Rhinolophus ferrumequinum: one gene and its partners. The protein of the gene in region 2 interacts with the protein of the main gene of each other region in a biochemical or structural test. Links are inferred from orthologs where the notes say so. Each region holds a gene or a part of one and is shown on either strand. Other genes may lie near its edges. The genes, in order: cytochrome b-245 light chain, NOXO1 and NOXA1.

Region 1 (6,944 bases), on a different chromosome or scaffold from region 2:
ACACTGTGGCCGAGTTTGTGGCCGCTGTGAGGCACAGCTTCCCCCCTGAGTCAAATGGAGACAAGTGAGTTGTGGGTCCCCCCATTTGGGAGGCCTTGGAGGGAGGAGCAGGGTCTCCTGCTGAGCTCGGGACAGCTGCACCTAAGGCTGCTGCTGAATGGGGAGTCCCGCAGGGGACCACAGGCTGTGTGTCACTAGTATGCCTTGCTGTGACCATGGACTCGTCTTCCTCATACACCCCAGCCCCGTGGTCACAGAGACGGGCACATGCAGCGTCATGGCTCCTATGTGGACAGTACTCAGGGCCCCACTATGGGGACGGAGCATTTGGATTTCTTCCTACCCGTTGTTTTAATGGTCCTTTCTCAGTGTGGGGACACCTTCCTGTAGGGGTGTTGGAAGCGTGCGGGGTCATTTTCTCTGTCTCCGTAATTGGGGTAGTACTGACGTCTAGTGAGTGGGAGGCCGGAATACTAACTTCCTTACCAAGTAGAACAGACCACACTACCATGATGGCCCCCGAGGCCGCTGGTGCCCTCGTTGGAAGCTCTGCTCTCATTGGCCTTGTCACCGCAGTGAGTAGTGTGCAGCTTTTCCTGTTCTGAGGAACATGGTAATGGACTCTTGCTTGACCTGAGGCATTTTCTTCTTAAGTTGTGTTACCCTACTGGGTGGAGCAGTAACCCCAGGCCAGGGATGAACTTAAAACCTCCGGGAGGTTTCTGGAAACCCTCCTCTTCACAGTGACCCCAGCCAGGTCCTTGGTTATTCCTGCTTAGTTTTTTTGTGTGTGCGGTAAAGCACACATACACATAAAGTTGATGATTTTAACCACTTTAAAGTGTACACTTCAGCAGGATTAAGTACATTCAGTGTTTTGCAACTAGCATTTCTATCTGGCTCCAGAATTTTGTGACTCCACGGCAGTCACACCCCTTCCTGTCTCTTGGGTCTGCGTGTCCTACGTTCTTCCCATCAGTGGACTCACAGCACACTCATGCCTTCCTTTCCCCAGGTTTCTGAAAGGGCTGCCCGTGAGGCCTGCCCTGCTCTCAGACGAGCTTAAAGCTGCGCTGGACATGGAACCCACCCCTGGCGGCATCAGATACATCATTGCTACTCAGGTGAGGCCTGGCACCAGCCCTCAGCCCCAGGGCCCAGGGGTCCCTGCGGCCCAGCACACCTGGGGAGGGCCCCATCCGGCACACAGGCCTTGAGGACTCAGACCTGGCACGTCTACCCGGTGAAGGGACTCCCCTTCAGCCCCACTTCATCTGGGCTGGGTAGCCAGGTTGCTAAGAATAACAGCAAAAGGAGGAGGAGTACCACACTTCTGTTTTCAAGGCATCTGGTCCACTATGGTTTGTTTCACTCACTCGCTCTCAGCAGGAACATTTTAAGACATGCTGTGAGGTTTGGGGCAGCATTCCCAGTGCTGAGGGGGGCAGGTGAGGCTGGGAATGTAAGACTCCAGGAGACAGGTGCGACGGGTCCAAGGACCCTCAGGGCTCGCCCACTGGAACCAGATCTGGGTCCCTGCTCAGAGTGGCCGAGCCGGGATTTCACTCAGATCGTCGATTCCAAGTCCCCATGCCCTCAGGTGCCCAGGCCCCGGTCTCTACCTTTCATTGAGTCTGGGTGATAGAGGCCGAGAGACCATGTAGCTCTGTCTGAGGAAGTTGGGCACAGGGCCAGGGTGTCACCACACGGGTGGTCAGCTTCTGACCTGCCCTTACCTGGGAGTTGGGGGGTATACCTGTCCCTCCCTGTCATCCCAACCTGACACTGATTTCTCTACCTGCCAGGTGGGGCCCGGGCCTCAAATCCTGGATGATCCTCTCGCTCACCTCCTGGGCCCCGATGGCCTGCCAAAGCCAGCTGCTTGACCAGTTTCTCGACAGGAGCCTTGGCCGCTGCTTGGAGAAGGGCCGCTTTGCTGGGAGAAGGGGCCACTTTCCACTTTGCTGGGACTGGGGAGCTGCTTGTGGCGGTGCCTGTACTATGCTTTTTGGGGCTGGTGGGTGGCCACCTCGCCCCAGGCCAGGCAGTATGCCGGGGCTGAATAGGGGCAGTGGAGTGACCACTTGCAGGCGCCAGGTGGTCAGGAACGGGCCCCCCACCAAGTGCCTCACCTTCCCCACCTGCACCAATACTGTGCTGAGATGAGGGCTGGGGTCAGATGTGGGACCTGGGGGACCGAGCTGATGGTGGTGAGCTGCTGGTGTGTCTCCCTGAAGGATCTCTGGCCCTGAGCCCTGGAGCCACTCGCACTGACTGAAACAGGAGCTGGGCCACCGGAGATGATGGGGAGTTGGCATCCCTCTGTGGAGCTGGAGGACCAGTCACTGCAGGGAGCTGCCTCTGCAGGCTCCAGAGCCCTCCATAAAGTGCTTTGAACATGACAGTTGTCCCAGCTCCTCTGCCAGAGCTCAGGCCACTGGGTGTGGACGTAACGTTTCTTCATAAAAAGACCAGGAGTTGTCTCCAATGGGAGGTGGGAGAGCAGCACCATGGTGCGTTGTCACAGGGAGCCCTGTCAACAGACCACGGAGAATAAAGCCAGCGTTGCTGATTGGGCCTGGCGTGCTTCTGTCTAAGCAGTGTTGCTGTGTAGGCCGTGGGCAGCGCTCAGCGGGAGGGGTGGGGAGGGTGCGGGCTGCGAGCCTCCTGCAGGAGCAGAGAACTTAGAACTCGCGCATTTGCTAACTTGCTCCTGAAGAAGCTGCCTTCTCCCAAGGTCCCCTCATTGCCCAGCCCTGTGGTGGGTGTTCAGCACACAGCCACCCCCCAGGGCCACAAGCCACACTCAGTGGCTATGGCTCTGACAGGCCTGGGGACATGGTTTGGGCCGGCTTTAAGCTCCCAGTCCATGAAAGAAAGTGGGAAGCAGCTTTGCAGGGAGGAGCACTGATTCAGGAGGGTTCCCCTCAGCCCAGAAGCTTATGGGTTCTGGAGCCCAGGAATTGCTTGCACTTCTAAATGGGTTTTTCCATTGTGTGCAGGTCATCGACCTCCTCTCCACTTTCCCAGCTTCAGCACAGTTGGCTTAGAGGAAGAGGAGAGTGGACATGTACACCTATTGACCTACCTCCTGGTTTCCTGCCTCTCCCCCGGAGAGTCAGCTGCTACCGCTGCTGGGTGGGCAGAGGAGGGAGATGACAAAGGGACAGGGCCAGCACTCTGACATTCTGGGTTTTCCCAGGAGCTTTGTACACCCTGTTTCCTTCCCCTAAGTTAGTCCTGTGGACAGGGCTGCTCACCATACTTGCACTAGCCCAGGGCCAGATGAGGAAGTAGGCGCTGGGCCTGCCACTGACCTTCCTATTGGGCACTGACTTCCAGGGAGGGGTTCCCCAGGCTCTGACTCCTGGTCTGAGGTCCTTCTCCCTTGAGGGGAGTTCCCCCGACCCCGCAGTGGGCATGGTGAAATCGCTGGACCTTTAAACCCTTCTGGGAACCTGGCCTGCTCACTGTCCTCTGTAAGCACCTAAGAGAGCCCAGCATTATGAGGGCACTTTGCCTTCTGAGGCAGGTGTCCATCTCATTGGTCCCCTCTCTGCCTATGTCCAAGACCCCCAAGCGATGCTCAGGATGTCCCAGGTTGACCAGGCTGGGAGCTGACAGGAGAGGTGCCTGGCACCAAGTGGGTGGGGGCCGCTGTTTGCCCCGGGGAAGTGAGGCAGGGGGCCCCTCCGACCCTCAAGCAAAAATTCTGTTGTGCGGGGCAGACCTCCGGAGCACCGCCATAGCCTCGGGCCCCTGCTGTCCAGGCCCGTCACTTGGGAGCGGGACCGGAACTCGGGGCGGGGCGGGGCTGCACCCGAGGAACTAGGGGACAGGGTGGGGGTGGAGCCGGAACTTCGGGCTGGGAGGTGGCTGGCGCGCGGGGCTCAGTGTCCCAGCGGAGCCAAGCCGAACCGCGCTGCGGGTCGCCATGGGGCAGATCGAGTGGGCCATGTGGGCTAACGAGCAGGCGCTGGCGTCGGGCCTGAGTGAGTGAGCCCGGGCTTGGCCCGCGGGGCGGGCCGGCAACGCCGAGACCCCGGGCTGCAGGCCGAGGGACCGGGTGGGCCGGCCACGGGGCCGGGGAGCCAGGGTCCTGACGAGTCAGAGACTCGGCTGCGGGCCGCGAGGCGGGAGCTGAAGCCTGGGGGTGAGGGTCCCCAAGACTTATGCGGAAACCTGCAGCTGCGTGGCGGGGAAGTGGGCCTGGGGCTGCCCGGCAGTGGGAGACCTCGGGCTAGGGAGGCGGTCTGGAGACCCTCCTGTCCCCGCAGATACCCGCGCCCCCGTCCCCTCCCCCTTTCCACTGTCCCCTTTTCACCCCCTCCACCCCACCAGGACCTCACACCACCGATAGAGGAAGTTGCAGCCCTAGGGGAAGAGGCCTTCACCCCGGGTGCTTTCCGGGGAGTTACCACCCTCCAGGATTGGGGAAACCTGGCAGGACCACCCGCTCCTGCTGTTCCTCCTGCCCTGGAGTGGGGCTTCACCCCAGGGGTCGCGACGGGCTCCCTCCCCCGCCCTGAGCCTTCACAGGACATCTAAAACAGCCCAGAGGGACCTCTCCCAGCCCAACTATCAGAGACTGCTTCTGGGGAAGGATGGCAGGCCTCCTCAGTCACGCTGAGCCTGTGTTCAGGAGCTCTGGTGAAAACACAGTGGGGTCTGCACCCCTGTGCTGTACTTGGAAGTGGAACCTCTCAGGGATGGTGAGACTGGGCCCAGGCAGAGTCTGAGGCAAGAGGAAGCTGCCCAGAGGTTCTGCCCGCCTCTGGGGACCTGCCACTTCCAGGAAGGACCTGCACCCAGTGGGAATGAGTGGGTGGAAAGACAGTAGGGAATGTAGTGATGAGGAGGGTCCTAGCCCACCAGCATTCCCCTGGGACCCACCCTGAGGCCCCTCTGCCAGGGGGACAGGAGTCTGGTGAAGCTCTGGGAGGGAAGGGAGCAGATGTAAATGAAGTCTCTCTCGCCGCTGAACTGTAAGATCACGTTTTTGTAAGATCACGTTTTGGGGTGAGCAGTTTTGGGTCATGAAGCCCAATGGTCTGTTCAGGCAGGTCACCCCCTTGAGTTTGGCGTCTAGGGTGAGAAGTCAACGAGTGAGAAGTCAGTGAGTTAGATAGTTGTCACTTTTTTTTTTTTTTTAAAGATTTTATTGGGGAAGGGGAACAGTGTGTACTTCCAGGACTTTTCCAAGTCAGGTTGTTGTCCTTTCTTAGTTATGGAGGGCGCAGCTCAGCTCCAGGTCCAGTTGCCGTTGTTAGTTGCAGGGGGCTCAGCCCACCATCCCTTGTGGGAGTTGAGGAGTCGAACTGGCAACTTTGTGGTTGAGAGGACGCGCTCCAACCAATTGAGCCCTCTGGCCACCCGGGAGCTGAGCGGCAGCTCATTGACTTCATTCTAGTTGTGGAGGGTACAGCTCGCTGGCCCATGTGGGAATTGAACTGGCAGCCCCATTGCCCAGAGCTGGCACTCTAACCAACTGAGCCACCCGTCCGCCCCAGTTCTCCTCACTTCTCCCCAGAGTTGTCCCCAAGCTGTTCCCCTGTCTGCCACAGGTCATGAGACCTTAAACAGCTGCAGACCAGCCTCCCTTCCTCTTACAGCTCCTCAACCCCCAGGAAGTAAAAGGCGACAGAGGGCACCAAACTGGGAGCTCTCTGAGATGCATGGGTTTGAGTCCCCTTGGGTGCAGCACCCCCAGCACCCCCGTTCATGGCATGCCCACTGTGTGCTGGCTGAACCTTCCTTGCCTTAGCTAATGTCCTTAGGGTCTGAGGCTGGAGCTGTTCCTGCATCTACTTTACAGACAGTGAAATCAAACCTAGAGAACGTACAAGCTGCAGCTCAGTTTCCTCCATCACCAAATGAGGCAGTTTATTGGAAGGTCTTCTAGGGCCATTCCTGCTCTGAGTTCCTCCTCTTGCTGACTTTTTTTCCTGATTCAGTATAAATTGCAGCCACCTGAGACTGCTCAGGCCTGGCTGGACCCTGCTAGCAGCTGCCTCCAACAGGCTTCTTTTTTTTTTTCTCATATGTTGAGCTTCTTTTTTTTTTCATATGTTGAGCCGTTCTTTGAGCCGTTCTTTTTTATTTATTTATTTATTTTTAACAGGACTTTATTGGGGAACAGTGTGTACTTCCAGGACTTTTTTCCCAAGTCAAGTTGTCCCTTCAGTCTTAGTTGTGGAGAGCGCAGCTCAGCTCCAGGTCCAGTTGCCGTTGCTAGTTGCAGGGGGCGCAGCACACCATCCCTTGTGGGAGTAGAACCGGCAACCTTGTGGTTGAGAGGACAGGCTCCAACCAACTGGGCCATCCGGGAGCTCAGCGGCAGCTCAGCTCAAGGTGCTGTGTTCAATCCCAGCTGCATGGGGTGGAGCCCACCATCCCTTGTGGGATTCGAGGAGCTGAACTGGCAGCCTTGTGGTTGAGAGCCCACTGGCCCATGTGGGAATCGAACTGGCAGCCTTCGGAGTTAGGAACACGGAGCTCCAACCGCCTGAGCTACCGGGCCGGCCCAACAGGCTTCTTTCTTATTGTAGAAAATTCCATCTAATCAGATCATGTCCCCTCCTGCTGAAAACCCTCCAGTGGGTCCAATTGCGAAGAATAAAAGCCAGATTCTTACTGCTCTGTCCCTGTCCCCCTGCCTTCTCTGTCATTCCAACTGCACAGGCCTCCTCTCTGTTCCCAGATTTCCTAGGCATACCCCAGGACCTTTGCATAAGCGGTTTCTTCTGTCTGAAGCATCCATGGCTGGCTCCGCCATTCATTTCTCAGTTCAAATGTCACCTGCTTAGAAAAGTCTTTCCAGAGCACCTAGACATCTCTGTCACAGTCTCTTGTTCTAGTTCACCATCTCTGATGTTTATTTCTGTCCCCTCCTGAGACTATAAGCCCCACGAGAACTGAGGCCTTATCTGTCCTGCTCCTGCTTC
Region 2 (7,244 bases):
AGCTGCTGGCCTACGAGGGTGTTCGGGCCTCCCTGGAGGCCCTGCTGCCCTACACTGGTACGTGGGCACAGCCCCAGGTTGGGGGTAGGGAGTAGCTCAGCACACTCTGTGGACCCCATGACAACCTCTGTCATTCCCCAGAGCGCCACTTTCAGCGGCTCAGCCGGACACTGCAGGCAGCCACCTTCCTGGACTTCCTGTGGCACAACATGAAGCTGCCCACTCTCCCTGCGGCCCCCTCAGCCCTCTGAAACACGCAGAAGGTGTACTCTTCTATCCCAGCTCCCTGTGTCTGTCTGGACGTTGTCTCATCAAGATCACAACTCCGGCCAACCCCCCCTCCCTGGGCCCTGGCCTGGCCGTGATCCAGCAGGCCCTGCCCCTGAGCACAGACACTGCGTGTGGGTCAATCAGAAGAGCTTTTTACTCAAAGGAAATGGGAGAGTGTAGCCTCCTGGCCCCCCCCAGCCAGGGAGTCCCACCCTCAAAGGCACCTCCCTCTGCCCTGGGAGTGGTGTGGCTCCCTGGGGTCTGGAGCCTCTGGCCTGCCGCTCCAGCTGTGAGGCAGTCAGTGCAGCCTTCCGTGTGATTCCACACACCCTCAAGGGGGTCCCTGACCCCTTGGGGCCTGCCGCAGTGCTCTGCGGGTGATAGTACAGCAGCGACTCTGAATGACACTCAGTGGGGGGCGGGCAGGCACAGTGGGGGGAATGGTTGTGGCCTGGTTGGGCTCAGGGGAGCTCTGGGCCTTGCCTGGCCTGTTCTCTCCGTCCTCTGCCCCACAGTGGAGCCCTGGTCCACTCAGGAGCATGCCCAGTCCATCGGGCTGCAGCAGCACAGAGGGGAGAAGACCTGTGCGGCCACCGAACCTGAGAAGACAGCAGGGTTTGGTTAGTCGTGGCCCTGCCCCCAACTAGACCCCCACCCCCACTCCCCACAAAGCCCCCACACCTGCATACCTGCACAGCCACCAGCCGCGATCAGACATTTCCAGGACGTGCACATGCGCTCCAGCAGGCACTGACAGCTCGTCAGCCCGGCTGCCCTCATAGGCACGGGATGCACAGAACTGGAACCCTGGAGTGGGGTGCTTGAGGGTCACCAGAGGGCTCCCACTTTTTGGTCCCCTTACCTCCCACTGAATCGCCCCCTCCAGGCTCCCTCTCTGCATCTCTGCTGACCCCAGGACAACTCTAAAACCTCCTGTGGCTCCCTCCTACTATGGGGACCTAGCACGTGCTAAGGGGGCCACTGCCACCACCTAGTCACTCCATGGCGTCCCTCCCCTGGGCCCAGTGTTTGTGGCCCAGCTTTGCTGCACGCTGCCTACAGGTGGTAGGGGTTGTAGGCACGGGAAGGAAGGCTAGTCTCATACCACTACTCCGTAGGGGCCGGCCCCCCTCTTCTCCCTGGCCTGGGGCCACATCCCCTAGGTAGGGAGCAGGAAACCACGCCGTCTGCTGGTCTTCGTTCTGCACCAGCCACCAGCCTGTGGGCAAGAGGTGGCCAGGGGTTCAGATCCCCAGGCCCACTGGGATCCTGGAGGCAGAAGGTTGAGTCCCCAGACTCCTGCCCAGCCCCACCTGAGGGGTGTCGCAGCAGCACATCCAGGACCTCCTGGGCCCGTGTGTGGAAGGGCCGGCCCTGTGTGTCCTGGGTGCTGAAGGGCTGTAGGCATTGCAGGCTCTGAGCCTCCAGGCTGTGGATGGAAGGGCTGCGCGCAGGGCTGGCTACGGGCTCTTCTGGGACAGGCAAGATGACAAGGCTGGGAAGGGGGTGGGTGCAGGGAGGAGACGTGAGCGGGTGGGAAGTGTGGGGATCGGCCAGCCAATCCTTGCAAGTCCACTTAGCCGGCTTGCCTTCACACCTCCAAGGCCCCTTCACCGCGCCACCCCCACCCTCCAAGTGCTTCCTATAGGGAGTTGGGGGCTGGTCAGTTACCTGCCAGGTGGCAGCCTGGGCTCTAGGTCCCGGGTTTGCGGCGCAAAGAAGCTAGTGAGAGCCGGGTCACAGGGCATGCGCTCAATCGCCAGCAGCGCCCGCAAATAGGCTTCCAGCAGCTGCAGGCGCACCAGGCCACGACCCGTGCGCCCCCCGCGCACCAGCAGCGATGCATCTGTGGGCAGAACAGGGACGGACCATGTAACCCCACCCCCAGGGCTTCCCCCACCAGGCCGCCTGCTGCCACCCCAGCCCGTCCGGGGATCTCTGCCAGCCTGACCCTGAAGCTTGGGAAGAACGCGGTCAGATCTCCGCAGTAGGCCCGACTCTACCGGGAAGGTCTCCTTGAGGTTCTTCTAAGGGAGAGAACCAGGGTATTGGTGTCCGAAAGCCCACCAGGTACCCTTGGAAAGGGCAGGGGTCGCTTGCTGGGATTGTAAGGACTGGAAGCCCGTGTGGGGTGGGCGTGAGGGCAGGCACCCCAGCCGGGGTCATTGGTGGGTCATACAGTTGAGGGGAATCAGATCACCCCAGGCTCACTCACATGGAGCCTCCTGAACTCATCCCAGCTCCTGCGCAGGAAGGTGTTGCTGTCGTCCGACCAGCGCACAGAGAAGGCGAATGTCTGTTGGAGAAAATGCTGGGGGCACCTGGGAGGGGCTAGACCATGAACTCCCTCCCTCCCTCCTTCCTCCTTGAGGTTGGCAGGGACCTGTAGGGTCATACCTGGAACTTCTCTGTCTCCACCAGAGCCGCAGCACGTACTGACACTGGGTGCCGAGGGCCTGCCATAGCTGTGGCCTTGGTCTCAGTCCTGGGCTTCTGGAGCTGGCGGGATGTGATGGAGGGTTCTGCTGTCTCCCTGCCCACACTGGGAGGGTTTGCACTCCTGGGAGGGTTTGCACTCCTGGGCACCGGAAGCGTGGTTGGAATTCCCCTATGACTCCTGAGACCTGCCAGGTCCTTGCGGCGCTGCCCCTACACCTGTGTCCCTTCGCAGCTTCCTCACTGCACTGCAAGCTGAAGATCTGGGTGGAGGGGCTGAAGCACAGGGCGTGAGGGTGGGAGGGGGAGCACAGAGGCGGTGGAGATGCTAGGACTGCTGCCTGAGGCCCTCCTGCCCAAGACTGGCCGTGGGAAAAGCCATCAAAGGGCCGCCAGGCCTGGCCCATCTCCCCATCTCCCGGCTCTCCCACACCCTGTTAATGCTGGGAATGGTGAGAGCCTGTTGCCAGGGTGTGGCCCACTGCTTTGTCTTCGAACTCACCTGGAGAGGTCACCCATTTATCAGGAACTGCTTAACCCTCACCTTGAAGGGAAAATCCCTTAATAACACCACAGTCACAGAGAAGGAAATGTGTTAAATGGATCATTTATGTCAGTATTTCTGTGTGTGTTGGGGAGAGGCAGGCCTCACAACTTCACCCCAGAGGTTCCCCTGTGGTGGGTAGACTTGGGGCAGCAGGAAGAAGACGGTCCATCTCTATCGTCACAGACGCTTGGGGTGGGGGAGGTGGTGACTAAGGTGGTTTTGAGAACCGACTCGGAATTCATGATTTATTACAAGTTACTGCAAACACAACTTCTGAGATCAGGAGTGGCTATTCCCCAACTGACGGGAATCCCCAGAAAGCCTGCCCAAGTCCAAGTGCCCCATATTACTGGGCTGCTTCCTCATAGGGGAGATTTCTGGAGCCCCATCTAACCTTGGTGCACAGTGGTTCTTCCTGTTGTTGGGGCCACCAGCTCTGACTTATGCCCCCTAGGGCTGGCTAAACCTTGCCCCCAACCTGAAGCCGTCCAGGAAGACGTCACTTTCCAGGGCATCCTTCCAGGAACCGACCATGGCCTAGACAAAAGGCTTTTGTGTGTCTGACCAGTGGCTCTGTCTGAAGCCCTCAAACCTACCCTGGTCTTGGTCCAGACAATGAACACCTGCTGACATAGGCCTTATCTGCAGCGTGCCTTCAGCCCAGCTGCCACACTCTCCCCAACCTCAGTGGGGGCCTGGCAGGGTCTAGGGTGGGACAGACCTTGCTCCCCTGGAAGACAGAGAAGCTGGGGAAGGGACAATTTACTCACAGCCAGGGACCTAGAAGGATGCTGAGGCCCCCTCCCTGCCCCAACCGACAGCCCCTGCTTCACACCCCCAGTAACCCTGAGTCCTTTCCACTTTTTCCCTCTCCATAGCCCCTCCCCTCCTCTCTCACCCGGGCAAACAGCCCCCCTATCCATCCAATGACCGTGTCCCTCACTTGCTCCCATGAAATGGACTCTCCAGAGAAACCTGCAAAACAGGATCGGGATCAGGCAGAGGTAGCCCTGCTCAAAACTGTCCAGGATCTTCCCACTGTCCGAGTAAATTCCCAATTCCCGCGATAGCCAACCAAGTCCTTGGCGGGCCCCTGCCCCCTTCTGGATATCTCCTCCACAAGTCCTATCCCACTGGCCTTACTGCCCACGCGAGACCAAGACCCTCCCACCTCCAGCCTTGGCCTTCACTGCCCTCCACAGCTGATTCCTCATCCTTGGGCTTCTGCCTAAAGGTCACCTAAAGGAGGCCACCTGGATTTACCACACCCTGTTAGGACCCCCACCACAGTTTGTAAATGAACATTTATTAGTGTGACTTGTTTTTGTTTTTGTTGTTTCCGTCTTGACCATACCGGACTATGAGCTAAGATCAGGGTCAGATCTTGCTCCCCGCCCTGTCCAGCGCCTGGAACAGTGCTCGGAACAGATTAGGCACTACATAAATATTTGCGAAATGAATGAGTGTACGTAAGCAAGCAGAGGTATCCCTGAGGCCACTCCTGACGTGGAGTTAACCCTTTCATGCTGGCTACAGGATCCGGGGCCGTTCGGTGCGCACAGGAGTCCAGAGACATGTGCAGCTTCCTTTGCAGGCACGGCCCCACCCAGCCTTGCCAGGCGCCCGTTGCCGTGGCACCGGCCATGGAGGCTAATCCCGGGACCCGGCCCTAGAGCGCCGGGGCCTTCTGTGCGCTCACGGCCCCGCCCCGCGTTGCCAGGGCGCCGCGCAGCCGGCCCTTGGGCGAGCCGGGGCTGAAGGCACAGATTCTGGCCGCCCGCACGTGGGACAGTCGGAGCGGAGCGATGGGGGCGTCAAGGGCCGCAACACGGACTTCGCCTAAACCACAGCCCGAGTCCACGGCTCGGCCGCGGCGCACCTTCCACAACACGTTCCTCTTCTACTGGAGAAAGCGGGAGCGCCGCCCTGGACAACGCAAGCCTGGCTTGGACCGCGGAACTAGCCCCAGGGGTGCCGCGAGGACGCGGGCCTCCGGCCTCACCCGGGCCTCCGGCGCATTTTTGGACCCGACGCAGTCCTCCCGCTCGGCCTCCTCCCGGGTGCGGGTCGCGCATCCCAGCCCTGCCTCTGTGCTGGACCCCGCCTCCACGGCGGACCCCGCCCCGGCCCCAGGCTCCGCCCCCGAACCCGCCCTCAGCCCCAACTCAGGCCCGGCCTCCACGCCCGAACCCGCGGCGCGCGCGCCCGGCTCCTGTGGCCGCGCCCTGGCGGCGGCGCGCGCGCTGGCCTGGAGGCCGACTTGGAGGCCGAGCTGGAGACCGAGCTGGAGGCCGAGCTGGCCCGGCAGACATTGCGCGGGCAATATGGCGGCGCCCAGCGATCGGGGGCGCTTCGGCGGCGGGAACCTCTTTTCCTTCCTGCCAGGCGGCGCGCGCTCCGAGGCGATGGAGGACCTGGTGACGGACGCGCGCGGCCGGGGGGCAGGGCGGAGAGATGCCGCCGCCTCGGCCCCGACGCTAACCCAGGCACCGACCCCCGATTCTGAGGTCGTCGATGACACCTCCCGAAGGCGGCCCTGCCGGGCTTGCGTGGACTTCAAGACGTGGATGCGGACGCAGCAGAAGGTGCAGATGTCGGGAGGCGCCACTTCCCCACAGAGGCCTGCAAGCCCTGCCTACCCCTAACCCCGGCCCGCATACACCCCACCCCAACCTCGGGCTCCACATCTTGTTCTCAGGCACCCTGGGCAGATCTCCCAATGCGAAGGCCGAGCGGCCACAGGTCCTATGCCTGACAGACTTATGCCCCACAGGGTTGGCCTTTAGACCTTCAGCCACAAGTGGGCCGGATCCGCTGCAGGATCCGGCTGGGGAGGGCAAAGGGGGAGTTTTGTAGGCTTCTGGTCCGGGAAGACCGAACTGACCCTTGATCGGCCTCCTTCTGCAGCGGGACAGCAAGTTTAGGGAAGATTGTCCTCAGGATCGCGAGGAATTGGGCCGCCACAGCTGGTCTGTCCTTCACACCCTGGCCGCCTACTACCCTGACGTGCCCACCGCAGAACAGCAGCAAGACATGGCCCAGTTCATACATTTATTTTCCAAGTTTTACCCCTGTGAGGAGTGTGCAGAAGACATAAGGAAAAGGTAAGTTGTGTCTGCACCATCTGCAGGCAGCAGAGCATCCCACGTGGAGCCTGGGTCTGGGGTCCCTCACTGATGTCATAAAGGGGAGCCTAGAGAAATAGGTGCAGAGGTGGCAGAGGGTTGCCACGAGCAGGGACCACCAACGGAATGGGGATTGGGTCATCTGAGCCATCTTTCTCAAAGGCCAAACACCCTGGGGTTGCTTCTGGACACTGCTGCTTTCTGCAGCCACAGGTCTGCAGGACTTCTCTCACAAGGTCCCTGCTTAGCACTGATGGAAACTTCTGCGAGTTAAGGAGGACTCCACCTTGCCTGACTTCTGGAGCAGCACTGCTAGTTTCAAGACCTTGAGAACCCACTTTTTTTATTGTTTGGCATCCATAGGCATTTCTGGGCTGGATGTGGGGGGGCAGGAAAGCCCTTGCTGTTTGAAGCCTGAGCAGTTAGAACCAGGTCTCTTGCTGAGGTGGGGCACCAGGGCCCCAGTTGCTAGGAAACAGGTTTGGTTTTCAGTTATGCCTTTGTGCCCGCCCCACCCCTTCCACACTGCCGGGGGCCAGGGAAGCTGGGGTGAGGCTTCCTGATTGTTAAGAGGTTGTAAAGTTGCCTGGTCTGTGACTTAATTTCTTGCCCTGGGCTCTTGTCAGTGTTTGCCAAGCTCCCTAAGTGGCATTTTGAGCAGGCTTAGGAGTCCACCCCGTCTGGATGCTGCAGGGTCTGCCCTGTTTTGGGACTTACTGTCTCAGAGCATGAGAGCACTCCTGGGTGTAGCTCACAGCAGGGTCCCATCTCCTCCCTGGATTGAGCCGGCAAGGAGCTGGTGGGGCAGGGGCAATGGAGCCACTGCCTGCCCCCCGTCCTCCATGTGCTCCCCCATGCAGGATATG
Region 3 (7,676 bases), on a different chromosome or scaffold from region 2:
AGCACTCTGGGCCTCTACCAACAACCCTCCTTCAGTGCCAGCACTGTCCCCAGAGGCCGGGAACAGGCCCAAGTGCAGAGCCGAGGGTGGGGATACCCCCTGCCTGCCCCTGCCAGGGGCCCACAACTAAGCTTTTCCCCCTCCCACCACCCGCCTTTCCTCCATCCCTACCCCTATCCTGGGTGAATGTATTCCTGGTGGCCCCACCCTCGCTGACACCCTGAGCCTCCTGGGGGAAGTGACTGGCAGGGACCATGGGGACAGCTGTGACAGTAACAACAGGACCCAGAGAACGGGGCGTGCAGGAACCCAGGGGCCGGGCAGGACCACTTGGGCCGCCCAGCCATGGGCAGCACCTGGGAACCCCAAGCCAGCTCCGCCAATGGAGGCCAGCTCTCTGCACCAGCCAAGACATGCTCACCTCCCAGGCCTGCAGCCTGAACCGCAGGCCCAGCTGTGTGTAGTCAATGGCGGCATTGCCCCTCAGCTGCTCCAGGGCCAGTCGGAAGTCGAACAGGGCCTCCTGGAATCTGTGGCAGCAGGGGAGCCGAGGGCCTCAGCAGCCGCAGAAAAAGGGGCCCAGCCCTGCCACAGCCTTCCTCCTGCCCCTACCCCCAGCTCCAGGGACACCTGCTGGGGGCAGGGCTGGTCGCCCAGATCTCAGCCCACAGTGGGCACTCAAGTCCCCACAACGGGTCAAGGGTTCAGTACGCAGCTGTGCTCTGACCCAGCTCTGAATCCTGGACATTTGCTCCCCTGCCTGGGGCCCCTGTCTGCACCCCAGACCCAGCTGGGCGGTGCCTCCCGGGACCCCCACCCCCAGGGAGGCTTCTGCAGATGAGAGGGGAGGCTGCCCCAGAGCTTGCCTGCCCGCCCAGCACGGGCCCTGTCCTACAGCCCTGCCTGCTGCTCTGGGAAGGGCCTCAGGGCGGACAGCCCAGCGAGCAGGGAGGCCCCAAGCTCCTCCGTCCTGGGACACACCGCCACAGCCCTCCCTCGGTCCCCATGCCTGCACTGGGTGTAAACACACCAGTCCCACACAGCAGACGTGGGAGGCGCACAAGGGTGCCCAGGAAAGCGCTGTGTGAACACCGGCATGGAGACAGCTCTGCCCTGCGTGCGGCTCAGTGTGATCACAGCACCTGCTCCCAGGTTCCCGTCCAGGAGGGGTCAGTGAGAGGTGATCGTGGGGGAGAGGCGGAGGCAGGAGTACAAAGGGCCATCAGAGAAGGAACAGGCGCCCCCGGGCTCACCTCTCCAGCTGGAAGTTGGCCACTCCTCGCTGGAAGAAGCCGACAGCCATGCAGGCGTCCTTGGTCACCGCTTTGTCAAATGCCTGGGAACAGAGATGCCCATGCAATGCCAAGGTCTATAACCCCATCAGCCCACGTCACAGCTGCTGTCCAGGGCTCTGTTTGCTCTCCCGCCACACAGAGCAGCCAAATCAAGTTTCATGTAGTGTTCAAACGACAGACTGCAGTCCCAGCTTTGCCCTTCCTCGTGTCCTGCTTCTCAGAGACAGTCGGTTTTAGTAATGGTAGCCGTTCCGTCTACTTTTTACAATCTTTGCCTCCCAACTAGAATGCCTATGCTACTACCCTCACCTTGACTGCCTTTAGTAACAGTCCCTCTCCTCCTGTTAGGTAGGGGAGAAACGAGCCCTCAGACCCTCTGCCCACAACCCCGGGCCCCTCCCCCCACTTAAATCACAGAAGTTAAAGTATGCAGAAGTGACGACTGGACCCCTCACGCCTACAGTCACCTGCTGTCCAGAGATCAGATTTCTTTTCCTGGACATTTTCAACTGGAAAGGCTACTGAGAACTGTAGGTTCGTATGCAGAGGTAAGAAATGATAGGTGTGGTCCCATCTCCTCCAATGGCACTGACATCGGGACTCTTACATCCTCTTTGCATCTGTGACTTTTCACTGACCATCTGCACAACTGTAGGAACTGGTGCTTTCTGCCCCGGGGCTGCATTTCCTGATTACAAAGCGTTCACAGGGCAGAGAGTGGCCCTGCGCCCCCCTCAGCTCTGGTTCTGCTTCCAGGAGCAGGTTGGGAGACAGGTGAGCACTGAGATCTGGGATTGGGCACAGACCTTGTCTCCTCACCATCACGATAGGCATCGGCTGAAGCCCCTGGCCCAAACCCTACACCTTGGGGGACAGGTAACCCCTACCCAGGGAATCCGGCCTCAAGCGTTTCCAGGTATGTTAGCACCTGGGCGTTGAGCACCCGAACCAGTGCCCCGCCCCACGACTGTGGAGTCTGGCACATGGTCACCACATAGTGGAGGCACTGAGGGAGCCCTGCACCCCCATCCTGGCCCTGACTCAGCTCAGGGTGGGGTCCTGGGACCACACTGCTCCCATCTGCGGTAGGTGTTCATTGAGGCACAACACCGGAGCGATTTTTCCAGGTGACCGTCGGGAGGAATGGCGTGGGCCCTGGGCTTTATCACAGCGCTCACTGACCCAGCGCACAGTAAGGCACCCCAGGGTCAGAGGACAGCTTCCCCGGGGGTAGGGTCCCTGAGGCCAACCCCGGGGCTACCTGGCTCACCTGCAGCGCGGCCTCCGGGTCCCCCGCCAGGAGGTGCACACATCCCACGTTGAAGCATATCCTGGCGGGCGGGTCCGGGACGCTCGAGAAGAGCTGCAGGGCGCAGCCCCAATCCCCGCGCGCCACGGCCTGCGCGCCCCGCTGCCAGTCGCGCACCAGGTCACCGAACGAGGGCATGGCGACGTCGGCCCCTGTCCCGGCCCGGCCGCGGCGTAAGTCGTTGCTTCCGGGCGGGCGTGCGGCCGGCGGCGTTGGGGGTCCCGTGGGATAACTGGGGGACTGAGGACCGCGGAGTAGGGACGCCTGGGTCCGGAAGCTGGCAGGGGTTGCGGGGAACCCTCCGAAGCCCGCGGGGGGTCAGGGGCGGAGGGCCGCTGGGCCGTGGTGCTGGGGGCGGGACGTCGGTGAGCGCCAGGTGCGCTCTCTTCCTGCGGTCCTCCGCGCCCCTCGACAGGAGAGCGGCCCCGCCCCTTCCCCGAGTCAGCCCCGCCCCGGCATGGCCCCACCCTGGCCACGCCCACACGCACTAGCCCGCCCCTCCCGGATCTGGACCCGCCCCCTCCCAGTCAGCCCCGCTCTGGGCCGCCCATTTCAGTTTCTGCCCCGCCCTCCGACTTCCGCCGAGAGCTCGGAGCTCGGGTTTGCCTGGCCGCCCCCAAGATCCCCTTTCCCACCCACCCACGGCTGCGTTGGCTTCGGGGCTCCGGGGAAACCCTCCCGCCTGCTGCTGACGTCGCTGCCGGGGCCGGGCCAAGGTTCCGGGCGGACCTCGCAGGCACAGGTGAGCAACCTCTAGGGCGCGGGCCAGGTGGGGCGGGCTCGGGATCGCCTGGGGCGCCAGGAAGCAGGGCTGGGCCGAGGGCTGCGGGTCGGCTGGGGCTCAGCCCAGCGCCCCTTCGTGGCCGAGCTGGCGGCCTGGCTGGCCTCGAGGGTCCCCGCTGTCACCCCCTCCCCACCAGGCCGCGGGCCCCGTCTGACAGGCGCGAAGCCCTTGTCCTCGGGGCTCCGCGGGGAGGGCTGGGCCGTGAGAGCAGGTCCTGGGGCACAGGGCACAGTCCACAAGTGGCCTGGAGTCTCCCATGCCAGCGCCCAGCGCTGAAGAGGGACCCAGCTGTGAGGGACTGGAGGGGCAGGTCTGGCGCTCACCCCCAGGTAGGGAAACGAAGGCCCAGGTTTCTGGAAGCCTGGTGTGCAGCCCGACCCCAACTCGGGGCCAGAGGGGCATCCCCAGGTCCCCCCGTGGAAAAGCAGGTCACGACAACGCCCCAGCTACACTTGAGGACCGTCTCATGTGCTGCATGTCACCTGTCCCCATCTTTCCTCCAGAGAGATGGAGGGTGTAGACTGAGCAGTAATATCGACTAGGTATTCCATCACCAAAAAGGATTTATTCAGGAAAAGAAAAAAGGGCTGCAACCCAGCACCAGCCCGAGCAGACCCGCTGGCCATGTGCATATCCTGCCTTGTGTGTAAAGATGGAGGCTATTGGACCCACCTGGTGGCTCAGGTGGTTGGAGCACCGGGTGCTCCTAAAGTGGGGGTCACCGGTTCTATTCCCACATGGGCCAGTGAGCTGCGCCCTCTACAGCTAAGATTGTGAACAACAGCTCTGCCTGGAGCTGGGCTGCCCTGAGCAGCTGTGTGCTGCCGTGGGCTACCATGTGCCACCATGGGTGGCCAATGGCCATCGTGAGTGGCCGGCAGCCAGCGAGAGCTGCCATGAGCTGCTGTGAGTGGCCGACCAACAACCAGCGACCGACTGCCTCAGCCGGGGGGAGCGCAAGGTTCATACCAGCAGGGGCCGGGGAGCTGTGTCCTACACGACTAGACTGAGAAACAAGGGCTGGAACTGAAGGAGGGGGAAGAGGAGGGGAAACAAACGAAGAAAACAACGAAAAAAGATGGCGGGGAGACAGGAAGTTAGAGCCAGAGGGTTTTATGAAAAGGAAGTTAGGACGATAGTGTTGGACTAGGGGGGCTCATGAACGCCCAGGAGACCAGCTCCCCCCTGACACCTCGGACCTGATGGGTGTCCTTAAAGGCCCAGCTCGTCTTTATCAAGTCTCAACGAGCAGCACTAACCCAGCTTCAGTCAATCCCCGTGGCTCGGTTGTTCCCTGCGGTGACGGGCAGATGGGCTCTGTTGACCTCAAAAGTTGTTTTACCGTCAAAAATGGGTTTATCAATAACAACAAAGAATTGCTATTCAGGGCGTGCAAGCTATAGCAAAGCCATAGGCGAGTCCAGCAAACAACGGAGAGGAACTTTTTTTATGGAAAAAAACGAGGAAGTTGGGAGGCTTGTTTTGGATGCTAGCCCATTGGAGTAGAGCGAGACTCCAGGCAGATGATGGTGTCTTGCCACTGAGTTGCTGGCTGGCTGGTTCCTTGTACGTCTTTCCTGTTGGTGATTTCCGGCCTGTGGAGGGTTCTGTTGGGGTCGGTAATGGACTCGGAGAGGTCCTGCGTGAGTGCGCCCCCTTCTGGCCTCCCGATTCCATTGGAAATAAGGTTTCCTTTGTTCAGTTTCCACAGAGAGCAACGTCAACACAGGTACGGAGACTGACGGACCAGAGGGAGTTAGCTCCAGCAGTTGTGGGCGCTGGCAAGTCCAAAATCTGCAGGGCAGGCTGGCAGGCAGGAGACCCAGGGGAGAGCAAGTGTTGCAGCTCAAGGTAAGGCCGCTGGAGGCAGAATTCTCTCTTCCCAGGAAACCTCAGTCTTCTCCTCTTAAGGCCTTCAAGTCATTGGATGAGGCCCGTGCACATTACAGAGGGCGATCCATCTGCTTTGCTACAGGTCCACTGTGTCAAATGCTACTCTCATCTTAAAAAGACTTTCACGGCAACAGTGACTGCGTGACCGAATATCTGGGCCTCATGGCCTCGCCAGTTGACACAAAATTATCCACCACAGCAGCCAACCCCAGGAATGCTCCTGTAGACGGGCTGTCCTGTTACCTGCACAGAGCCTCGTGGCCTCCAGGGTCCTGGGGAGGCTTGTGTTGACAGCTGTCAGAGCCCAGAGTGCAGCTGGGACTCAGAGACCCCCCTTACCTTCCGTGCTGGCCGCCTTCCTTCCCTGGTTGGGCCTTTGGGGCTGGTGGGCTGTGACTCACTGTGGCTGTGTGTCCTCCCTGTGTGACCCTGGGCCAGCTCTCAGAGCCTGCCACTTCCTTACCTGTGGGATGGGGACAATGAGTGCCTACCTCGGAGGGCACCTGTGAGACGTGGCTGGGGTGATGGCCTGTGAAGTGCTTAGGAAGGCCTCTGGCAGCTGTGCTGCTCAGACATGTTTACAACCCTGTGCCCCTGAGGACCCGCTTCCTCGGGAACTCTGAGTCTCCCAGACCGCTGGCCTGGGCATAGCCTAGAAGCTCTTCAGTGGGGAAGTGGTGACCAGGCATGCACCACACCGTGGGGGCCACTCGGCCACAAGGGCAAAGGGTGGCAGCGACTCGGGCAGTCCCAGGAATAAGTGGAGTGAAAAAAGGTTACACACTTTATCCATTTACATAACATCCTTGAAATGACAAATTATATAAATGGAGGTCAGATTAGTGGCTGTCTGGGGTCACTAACAGATGAACGGCTTGGGGGGGGCGCTATAAGAGGGCAGAGGGGAGCCTGGGGGGGGAATGGAGTCTCCATGTCTTGACTGAATCAGTGCCAATATCCTGGTTGCGATTTTGACTGTAGTTTTTAAGATGTTACCACCTTGAAAACTGGGGAAAGGGTATATGGTATCCCTTTATTATTTCCTACACGTGCATGTGTGTCTACAATTATCTCTAAATAAAACGTTTACTTTTTAAAAATAATTTTAAGAAGACTTTTCTATTTTACAGATATCCTGAAAGTTGGAATGATCAAATGACCTCTAAGAGTCTCCCAGCTCTAAAATTCAATGGTTTAAGTGTTGTTTAAAAGCTTCCTTCTATTTAGCTAAAATGTCCTCCCCAGTGGACACCGCAGTGTTGGGACCAGCTGTGACCTGCTGGGACTGTCTAGTTCACACGATTCCTACAGTAGAAGAGTCCAGAAAAGGGAGATGTTACCCAAGGTAAGGCTCAGACTCAGCGAGAGGCCAGCCTGACGCTGGAACTTCCCTTTGAAGGAGGTTAGTCACTCAGGGCTTCATTCTGGAGCACAGATGCCAATCAAATGACAGGACCGGATATTTGGGAATTGACTATAGCCCAGTACAAGGAAGGCTTTTCCTTTAAACAATGGCATTTGCCAAGAAAAAATAAAATGCCACATAAGACTTTTCTCTCGGGAAATAAAAATAGCCTTGGGCATGACTGAGACACTGGTCACCCTGAGCCACGTCTGTAACAGGTTCAGAGAGTGTCTCCCAAGTTAGAGCTCTGGGTGTTGGCTGCCTTTTCCTGGAGGGCTCATCCAGGCACCACCGTAAGGCTGGTCTCCAGAACCTACCACTTCAGCCTGCTGCTGGCCGTTTAGTAACACATACGTGTTAACCGAGGACCCCCTCCCCGGAAATTGTCTTAAAGAAGAAACCCAGGAAGAACAGCATTCCAACAGGTGTGCTCTCCTCTAGCCGCTGAGCCCACCTGCAGGCAAACAGGAAGGGCCTCAGGATTAGTCTCCTTTGAAGGGCGGAGCTGAAAGGAGAGTATAAAATCGGGAAAGTTTTAATACTCTCCTGCAGGATCGGAGGCCCAGGTCTCCATGCTCCAGGCAGACAGTGTCCTGGTGTCCTTGCAGCCTTGAACTGGAGAACGTGCTGTGTGGTGTTGGGCCTTACAGTGGGCATCTGCCAGGACTGGTGCCCTACACGCATCCCCAGGCTGAGTGCTGCTCCTTCTGTGGGGAGAAGTAAGAGTGTGAGGGCTTTACAGCAGACTGACAGCAAACCGGCCCGATGAGCCGAGTGAAATGAAGACGGAGCCTGTGAAAAGGACAAGGGCCCCAAAGATGGAGCATGAGCGAGGGAGTTGCGTACAAGCCTCCAGGGCAGAGGGCCTGTCTGAGGCGCTTCAGGCCACATAAGAAGAAGGAGGAGCAGGCCGGCCCAGGCAGCGGGGATTGTGGAGGGGACAGGGACACCTAGGAATGAGTGTGGAAAGAGCAAATCCAGCAGCACATT

What was found.
Region 1: the proteins of NOXO1 (region 2) and cytochrome b-245 light chain form a complex in vitro, tested with the Homo sapiens proteins (3 studies listed by IntAct). The link is inferred for Rhinolophus ferrumequinum from reciprocal best matches to the Homo sapiens genes NOXO1 and CYBA.
Region 3: the proteins of NOXO1 (region 2) and NOXA1 form a complex in vitro, tested with the Homo sapiens proteins (2 studies listed by IntAct). The link is inferred for Rhinolophus ferrumequinum from reciprocal best matches to the Homo sapiens genes NOXO1 and NOXA1.

Annotation. Positions count from the first base shown.
Region 1 is NC_046298.1:33,294,490-33,301,433, reverse strand, and holds the start of cytochrome b-245 light chain, read left to right. Parts: upstream 1-3,852; 5' UTR 3,853-3,934; coding exon 3,935-3,992; intron 3,993-6,944. Other genes in the region: MVD (diphosphomevalonate decarboxylase), read left to right, coding at 1-64, 1,016-1,124, 1,806-1,886. UniProt on the Homo sapiens protein: Subunit of NADPH oxidase complexes that is required for the NADPH oxidase activity that generates, in various cell types, superoxide from molecular oxygen utilizing NADPH as an electron donor.
Region 2 is NW_022680357.1:3,725,787-3,733,030, forward strand, and holds NOXO1 (NADPH oxidase organizer 1), read right to left. Parts: upstream 2,806-7,244; 5' UTR 2,734-2,805; coding exon of another isoform or gene 2,668-2,733; 5' UTR 2,666-2,667; coding exon 2,486-2,665; intron 2,298-2,485; coding exon 1,942-2,297; intron 1,766-1,941; coding exon 1,584-1,765; intron 1,490-1,583; coding exon 1,376-1,489; intron 1,078-1,375; coding exon 960-1,077; intron 870-959; coding exon 602-869; 3' UTR 572-601; downstream 1-571. Other genes in the region: TBL3 (transducin beta-like protein 3), read left to right, coding at 1-57, 142-251; GFER (FAD-linked sulfhydryl oxidase ALR), read left to right, coding at 5,059-5,838, 6,161-6,357, 7,239-7,244. UniProt on the Homo sapiens protein: Constitutively potentiates the superoxide-generating activity of NOX1 and NOX3 and is required for the biogenesis of otoconia/otolith, which are crystalline structures of the inner ear involved in the perception of gravity.
Region 3 is NC_046295.1:83,440,833-83,448,508, reverse strand, and holds the start of NOXA1 (NADPH oxidase activator 1), read right to left. Parts: upstream 3,037-7,676; 5' UTR 2,743-3,036; coding exon 2,566-2,742; intron 1,337-2,565; coding exon 1,254-1,336; intron 531-1,253; coding exon 422-530; intron 1-421.